2 linked regions of the Ovis aries genome follow. Each later gene encodes a partner of the first gene's protein in a complex. Links are inferred from orthologs where the notes say so. Each region holds a gene or a part of one and is shown in the gene's direction. Other genes may lie near its edges.

Region 1 (3,797 bases):
CTGGAGACACACACAGTCAGCGGTCTGCAGCCCAGTACGATCTACCTGTTCCTGGTGCGAGCCGTGGGAGCCTGGGGCCTCAGTGAGCCCAGCCCTGTCTCTGAGCCCGTTCGCACCCAGGGTGAGTAAGGCCTGGATCTCTGGATCACAGGTATGGCATGCAACCCCGCAGAGCACCCCCTGCCTGCAAGTTATGGCACCTATCTGCTTCCAGTTTCTGTACTGGTGGCCGGGCCTGGAAGAGGGAGTCATGCTTCCCTTTCACTGAGGGAACAAGAGAAGAGGCAAGAGAGAAACAGAGAGAGAGAGAGAGACTGATTCAGTCATCTTGGTAGCTCCTCCCTTCCGAGCCTTTACTTATAGATAACAAGACTAGAAGGAAACTTGGAGGGACGTCTTCATGTGAGAGATGAGGAACAAGGCCTTGAAAGGTGCAAGGGAATCCCCAGGCAGTCCAGTGGTTAGGACTTCGTGCTTCCTTCCACTGCACGGGGCACAGGTTCAACCCCTGTTCAGTGGACCAGGATTCTGCATGCTATGCATTCAGGCAAAGAAAAAAAAAAAAAATATATATATATATATATAAATCTGCAAAGAGCCAACTCATTAGAAAAGACCCTGATGCTGGGAAAAATTGAAGGCAAAAGAAGAAGAGGGTGGCAGAGGATAAGATGGTTAGATAGCATCACCAACACAATGGACACGAATCTGAGCACTAACTCTGGGAGATAGAGAAGGACAAGGAAGCCTGGCCTGCTGCAGTCCGTGGGGTCACAGAGTTGGACACAAGTTAGCAACTGAACAACAACAAATATATGCAGAAAGCAGGCTACCCTGGCCCACCTCTGGAAGCTCTTCCCTTGACCAGCCATCTCCTGACTCTGGGATGGGCTCCAAAGTACTAAGTAGTGGTCTGCGGGGCAGGGCAGGGGACATACACATGCCCTCAGTCCTGGCTCCCCGTCCCAGAGGCCCTTGCTGAGTGGACTGTTTGGCCAGCAGACAGCAGCCCATCCAGGCCAGTGGAGGACCCATGGAGAGGCCAGCAGGGACTGGCCGAAGTGGCTGTGCGTCTGGAGGAGCCTGTAGTCCTTGGGCCTCGGACTCTGCAGGTGTCCTGGACCGTGAGTGTGGCCCAGGGATGAGCGTAAGGGCAGGCATGATGATGGGGGACACAGGGGAATGCGTACGGGAGTGTGCAAGGTGCGTGGCTGGGGAAGACTGCTGGGTGAAGAAGGGGCTGCGACAGGAGGACTTGTTGGCTCCAGCCCCTCCTCTGGCATCCTCTGTCCTGCCTCCCACAGGTAGATGGCCCAGTCCAGCTGGTGCAAGGTTTCCGGGTGTCTTGGAGGGTTGCAGGACCTGATGGGGGAAGCTGGTCGGTGCTGGACCTACCGTACCCAAGCCAGCAAAGCACAGTGCTAAGAGGACTCCCCCCAGGGACCCAAGTCCAGGTCAAGGTGCAAGCTCAAGGCCAGGAGGAGCTGGGGGCTGAAAGCCCCTTGGTGACCAGGAACATTCCTGAGGAGGGTAAGGGAGTGGGGCACAGCGCTGATGGGTGGACAGGAGGGAAAAGAGAGAGGGGAGGAGGAAGGTTTGCCTGGGGAGGGCAAAGGGCGGGGGGTGGGGGGAGGAGACACGCCTCTCAGTTCCCTAAGAGGTTAGCACTGGGAGGATGAGCAAGGTTGGGGCTGGAGGGGCAGCTTGCAATGACTGTCTGTGTCCTTCTCACCATGCTCCACCCTGGCCCAGCCCCCAGTGGTCCCCCCCAGGGAGTGGCCGTGGCCTTGGGGGGTGAAGGCAACAGCAGTATCACTGTGTCCTGGGAACCTCCGCTCCCCTCGCAGCAAAATGGGGTCATCGAGGAATACCAGGTGCAGGGGTTGAGAAGGGCCTGGGTGGGCAGGCTGGGCAGTGGAGGGAGAAGGTTAGGATCAGGGAGGAGGGAACCTAGGACTGGCTTTGGGACTAGAGACGAGGTCCGGGTAGAGGAGAGAGGTTTCAGAGTGCTCTCTCCGAGCGAATTACGCCTGGCCGAGGCGTCATTCCCACCATTCAGAGATCCACTTCTGACCCTCTAAGCCCGGGTCTCGGCCTCCCCAGATCTGGTGCCTGGGCAACGAGAGCCGCTTTCATCTCAACCGGTCCGCGGCGGGCTGGGCGCGCTCGGCGGTGCTGCGGGGCCTGCTGCCCGGTCTCCTCTACCGGACCCAGGTCGCGGCGGCCACCAGCGCGGGCGTGGGCGTGGCCAGCGCCCCGGTGTCTGTGCAGCTGCGTGAGTCCGGAGCGGGTGCGGGGGAGGAGCTGGGGTTTCGGGAGTGGGGCGGGGGGTGTCCTGGGGTAGAGTTGCCTCTACTCCCCTCACCTCTCTGACCCCCGCAGCGTCCCCGCCGGAGCTGGAGCCTGGGCTCGAGGCGAGCCCGGGGCTGGCAGAGCGGCTGGCGAGGGTGCTGCGGGAGCCTGCCTTCCTCGCGGGCAGCGGCGCCGCCTGCGGGGCGCTGCTCCTCGGGCTCTGCGGCGCCCTCTACCGGCGCCGGAGGCAGCGCAAGGAGCTCAGTCACTACACCGGTGAGAGCCCAGCCCCGGGGGCCGGCGGCTGGGAGACTCGACGGGGGTGGGGTGGGGTGGGCGGAGCCTTGAGATCTCGCTCCCCCAGGAAGGGAGGCGCGGAGAATCGAGAGAGAGTTCAGCCGCTCAGTTGTGTCCGACTTTTTGCGACCCGATGGACTGCAGCACGCCAGGCTTCCCTGGCCATCACCAACTCCGCTGAGCTTGCTCAAGCTCACGTCCATCGAGTCGGTGATGCCATCCAACCATCTCGTCCTCTAACCTCCCCTTCTCTTCCTGCCTTCAATCTTTCCCCGCATCAGGGTCTTTTCTAATGAGTCAGTTCTCCCCATCAGGTGGCCAATGTATTGGAGTTTCAGCTTCAGCATCAGTCCTTCCAATGAACATTCAGGACTGATTTCCTTTAAGATTGACTGGTTTGATCTCCTTGCATTTCAAGAGGCTCTCAAGAGTCTTCTCCAACACCACAGTTCAAAAGCATCAATTCTTCAGTGCTCAGCTTTCTTTGTAGTCCAACTCTCACATCCATACGCGACTACCGAAAAACCATAGTTTTGACTAGATGGACCTTTGTTGGTAAAGTCAAGTCTCTGCTTTTTAATATGCTGTCTGGGTTGGTAATCGGAGAAGGCAATGGCACCCCACTCCAGTACCCTTGCCTGGCAAATCCCATGGACGGAGGAGCCTGGTGGGCTGCCGTCCATGAGGTCGCGAAGAGTCGGACACGACTGAGCGGCTTCACTTTCACTTTTCACTTTCATGCATTGGAGAAGGAAATGGCAACCCACTCCAGTGTTCTTGCCTGGAGAATCCCAGGGATGGAGGAGCCTGGTGGGCTGCCGTCTATGGGGTCGCACAGAGTCGTCTGACTGAAGCGACTTAGCAGTGGCAGCAGGTTGATAATAGCTTTTCTTCCAAGGAGCAAGCGTCTTTTTATTTCATGGCTACAGTCACCATCTGCAGTGATTTTGGAGCCCAAGAAAATAAGGTCTCTCACTGTTTCCACTGTTTCCCCATCTATTTGCCATGAAGTGATGGGACCGGATGCCATGATCTTAGTTTTCTGAATGTTGAGCTTTAAGCCAACTTTTTCCACTCTCCTCTTTCACTTTCATCAAGAGGCTCTTTAGCTCCTCTTCACTTTCTACCATAACGGTGGTGTCACCTGCATATCTCAGGTTATAGATTTTTCTCCCAGCAATCTTGATTCCAGCTTGTGCTTCAGGAAG
Region 2 (4,389 bases), about 4.0 Mb from region 1:
ATCTGCTAAGGGACCACAGTGTAAAGGGCCAAGTGGGACAGTGGCTTGCATACAGGAATATCCAGAAAAATAGGGCAGAGTGTGTAGATAAAAACCTTCTCTCTTAATAAACTGTGTTGCTACTTTGGTGACCTTCAGTGGGGGCTCCTGGGGTCACGGTGATGAAGGGGTTAGGAACAGAAGAAGTAAGAAGGGGATTAATGAAGAGGATTTTTCTTGAACGTTGTAAATGTTTCCTGGAAAATGAGGGAGAGCTTTGTTCAGAGACGTTTCCCTTCTTTGGGATCCCTATCATATCAGAGGGCTGGGCTGGACTCAGAGAGAGGGGACCAGTGTGAGCAAGCCAAGGAGTTTTAAATCATGTGGGGCTCGTTTGGTGTAAATCAAAGGCTCTGTCATGTCTGATTTCACGACTCTGCAATCTAGTTATAAATAACGTTCCTGAAAGGAAGTGCCATGAAACTGGGAGATATTTCTAGGGAAGGCTGGGTTCTGCAAGGGGGTCACATAGAAGCAGGAGGATTGGTCTTCTTGCCCACACTCCTAAAACAAAGTCCAGCCATTCTCTCCAGGAATGGTGTTGGAGAGGGTTCCAGAATAACTGCGGGAGAGGTCAAACCGTGACTGTGAAAGGAGAGTAGTAGGGTTTTTGACAAAACCATCGAGAAACTCACTCAAGGAAAAAAAAAAATGGTTAGGAATTTCCCCTAAGTGGCAGCATCTGCCCTGCAGAACCGGAAGGCTTGCAAATAAAACTCCCCAATTCCCCACCGTGCTTCGCTCGGGCTCAGGGACACTTTTTCTGCACCCCCCTCCCCCGGTCTTAGCGTCCTCTCCCTGAACCCCCAAAGCGGGTCTCCACTCAGAGGGACCCAGCGGAGAGAGGAGACTGGAGGTACAGGTGGTGAGACGGAACTCAGGCATCATCTCCCTACACCCCCCTCCCCAACCAGTCACCTAAGCAAATCCGGAGTAACTGTCCTCCAGGGAGGAGCTGAGGGCGCTAGTTGAGTCCGTCTGGGTCGGGGTTCCCCCGGTGGCGGGGACGCGGGGCGGGGGGGAATCCACCCGCAAGGACTCGGGGTTCTTCGTTTCGACCAAGATGAACTGTGGCAACTTCGGCAGCCCCCACCGCGGCGCCGAGGCAGAGACAGCAGCAGCGGCTCCGCCGGCTCGTCTGGGCTGGAGAGCGTGAAGCTCAGGGAGGGGGTGCCCTGCGCCTCCAGCTCCTCCCTTTTGGCCCCCGGGTCCCGGGACTCCAGCTCCGGCGCTCCGAGTGGTAGCGGCTGCTGCGCCGATCGCCCGGGTCCTCGCCGCGGAGGAGGAGCCGTTGCCAGCGCCAGGCGCAACCTGCCGGAGCGGCCAAGCCCCGCGTTCCCACCCCGGCGCCGAGGCGGGCGCCGCCGCAGCGGGGGCCGGGGTCCGGGCCGGGTGCCGCCGCCCGCGGTGGGGGCGGGCTGGGGGCGGGGCGGCCGGGGCCGCCTTCCCGGGCGCGATCCCTGAGCGCGGCGCCCGGCGCAGCAGAGCCACCTCCCTCGCCGCCCGCCAGCAAGTTTGGCGGCTCGGAGCCCGGCGCGTCTCGGCATCCAGGCGCATTTGTTTCTTCCTGGCTTCCACGCGCCCGCTTTGGCCGGGACCCTTGGGAGCGATGCCGAGGGGTGTGATTTTAGTTGTGTGCTTCTGTGTGTGCGCCGCCAGGACAGGTAAGCACGGCTGGGGCTGTCGGAGGGATGCGGGGAAACGGGCGAGCCCAGCCGCTGTGCCCAGCGCCCACCTCGGCGTGGGGAGGACCTGGAGCAGAGCTCCGCGCCGGTCCGGGGAAGGGCGTGGATGGGTCCCTCGAATCTCTCTGCCCTGCTCCAGGTGAAAGGCTGAGAAGTGGGACTTACAGGCCGGGGGAAGATGCCCCCGAGGAGCAGCCCCCTGCCCGGAGGACGCGGCCTGGCGGGCACAGGGGTGAGGGGCGCGGCCATTCAGGCGCACCCTCCAGCTGCTAGCGACCGGCTTCCGGGTAGAAACCCACATAGTAGGGCGGGCCCGGGAAGCCCACCCCCGTGAACTTGACAGGTGCGGGGGAGTCCGCGGTCTCTGCGCCCTGCTGGCCGGGGCAGGGGCGGCGGCAGGGAGGCGCACCCGCAGAGGGAGCGCTTCCGGCCGGCGGGCGGGCGCTGCTGGGGCGCGGGCGGGCGCGGCGCGGGGTGGGAGCTGCGGACGAGGCTGGGATTCCGAGACCCCTTTTCTCGTCCCCTCCTGCCTCTCCCCCGGGGAACTCCTGAAGTAGTTTTTCTTGCCACTCCCTTTCTCCCCCAGAAGGCAAGACAAATTCGAGGGAATTGGAGCTGTGGGGGCAATCCCAGGGAGATGCTCTTAAGCTCCAAGCCAGTTTTCGCAGACTGTAGCTGCGTGTTGGTGTCGTGGAGGGGAGGTCAGGAAAACGGGCGTAATTTTCTGAAGTCTCCACTTCGTTCTGCCTCCAGGGAAGCAGTTGTGAGGACGTTAAGAGCACCTCCTCTCTCAGCCCTCAGCCTGCATGTCCCCTGGGGGTTTGGAGACCCACTCTCAGCCGCCTTCTCTGGGGAGCTAGTAGTAGATTGGGGAAGGTGGCGGTGGATTGGACGAGGGAATTGGCAAAAATAGGACTCTCCACTGCGGGTGGGAGCGTCGCGAGTTTTTATTCCTACGCTAGGCACCCTCCTAACGTGCGGCAGACTTCGCACCCTAGAGTTGATATGTAGTCATCCCCACTGCTTTTTTCCTCTTTTATCACTCTCGTCTCTCCTCTCTAGAGGCATAGCCTCCTGCCCACGCTAGGGAGCAAGTTTATAGGTAGAGGGCTGGGAATGGGTGCCCGGCCTGGGTGGGCTCAAAAGTTCCCTCCGCTCGCTCCCCAGGCGTCCCTCTTGGGCTGTTAGCAGCCCGCCTGAGGATTCAAGAGTTGGGCGTCCAGCAGCTTCCTGCTGGCCCTTTCCATCTTCCCCAGGACCGAGCAGGCGGCAGCTTTTCCTTTGCTTAATGAAAGCGCGGCGGGTGTGGACTTCTCCAGCGATAAAAAGAATCCCCATCCGTTTTCAGTCTCCACCCGAGAGCTCCCCAGCCTGCCAAGATGCCATGACTGCCCAACCTAGAATAAGCGCTTCTTGAGTTCCGGCCTATATAGGTGGGTTAGTCTTTTAAAGCCAAGAGCACACGAGAAAAAGCTTGCCCCCCGGAAAGATCAGAGCAGTGGGGACAGTGCAGAGTGTGGGCGACCAGCCCTGCTAGTGGAGAATCTGGTGCTGGTGAGCATCTTACAGGGGAACCAAAGAGAGAGAAACTAGGTGGGGCTGGGGTGGGGTGAGATATCTGTCACTTAATTTTCTCAAGTGCACATCGCTACGGAGTATGCCTACGTCCTTTGTTCTCATTACTCCTTTGAAAAGTCGGCCAAAAGTACCTTCGCCAGAAGTGGATTGTGGGTCCAGGGAGCGTTGCTTGTGGAGTTTCTTTAATAACAAAATCTTTTCCCCTTCCCCACATTGAGCCCCTTTAAATCTTGTAAAAATTTGGTTGTAGGGAAGTTTCATTTCTGTGTTCATTCATTCATTCAGCTGAAGAGTTGAGCGCCTTGCTGGGTGCTAGGATTGCTTATGCAAAGAGGAACCGACTTGGTCTTTGACTTCCAGGAACTTACAGCTTAGCTGAGAATCTAGATACTGAAAAGTGTGTTTATTGTACAGTTTGATGGGGCAGAGGGAAGAGAGATGGGATTATAGAAGTCTGCATTAAGGATATAGAGGAGAAATTGTAGAAATGAATTCTGGGGAGGGGTGGTAGATGGTCAGGGAAGGCTTTAATCAGAAGGTAACATTTGAAAGTTGTGTCTTGAAGGATTTTTAGGAGTTTTCCAGGTGGGCAGAGTGGGGAAAGCATTCTAGACAAAGAGCACAGCTTGTCCAAAGGCAAGGAAGAATGGAAGGATCTGCCAATCAGTTGTGCAGTTGCTTAGGGAGCTTGGGTTTTCTGCGCACTTGGTACTCGTTCAAAGAGTACCAAGAGGCTACACATTTCTACTACAGAAATTATCAGAAGAATCAGAGAGACATGGGGGAATTATATCTCAATTCTTTTACTTACAATTTCTTGCAACTTGGGGGATATGATCAGCAGTTTTCTCTTTGATTTTACCTGGGAACCATCATCCCTGCATCACACATCCATCCTCTGAGGTAGCTAAGGCCGGCTCTTAATTAGTTTATCAGGATCCAAAAAGCCAGTTGGAAAGTTTATTTGTCAAGTGGGATAATTGTTGTCTGGGCTGTTAACAGCCCAAGATGAAATAAACACGTGGTTCACTGAGTGAACTGCTCAGATATCACTGCTTTTAATGGAAATGAATAGATGCTATCAGGC

Evidence for each region.
Region 2: the proteins of ROBO3 (region 1) and NELL1 are in contact, whole or in part, in a crystal structure (PDB 6POL), measured with the Homo sapiens proteins. The link is inferred for Ovis aries from reciprocal best matches to the Homo sapiens genes ROBO3 and NELL1. Residues at the interface, in NP_071765.2 of Homo sapiens: Ser553, Pro555, Val590, Glu592, Phe594, Pro596, Asn600, Thr601, Trp602, Thr604, Ile624, Leu626, Arg630, Gly633, Ala634, Trp635, Gly636, Leu637, Ser638, Glu639, Pro646, Val647, Arg648; in NP_006148.2 of Homo sapiens: Ala440, Lys441, Met442, His443, Tyr444, His446, Tyr458, Arg468, Val469, Asp470, Asp471, Phe472, Ser473, Asp478, Ile492, Cys493, Thr494, Asn495, Thr503, Cys504, Lys505, Pro506.

What each region holds. Positions count from the first base shown.
Region 1 is NC_056074.1:25,787,418-25,791,214, forward strand, and holds part of ROBO3 (roundabout homolog 3), read left to right. Parts: coding exon 1-121; intron 122-1,002; coding exon 1,003-1,124; intron 1,125-1,304; coding exon 1,305-1,530; intron 1,531-1,752; coding exon 1,753-1,874; intron 1,875-2,103; coding exon 2,104-2,275; intron 2,276-2,382; coding exon 2,383-2,568; intron 2,569-3,797. UniProt on the Homo sapiens protein: Receptor involved in axon guidance during development. Acts as a multifunctional regulator of pathfinding that simultaneously mediates NELL2 repulsion, inhibits SLIT repulsion, and facilitates Netrin-1/NTN1 attraction.
Region 2 is NC_056074.1:21,836,222-21,840,610, reverse strand, and holds the start of NELL1 (protein kinase C-binding protein NELL1), read left to right. Parts: upstream 1-1,501; 5' UTR 1,502-1,648; coding exon 1,649-1,703; intron 1,704-4,389. UniProt on the Homo sapiens protein: Plays a role in the control of cell growth and differentiation. Promotes osteoblast cell differentiation and terminal mineralization.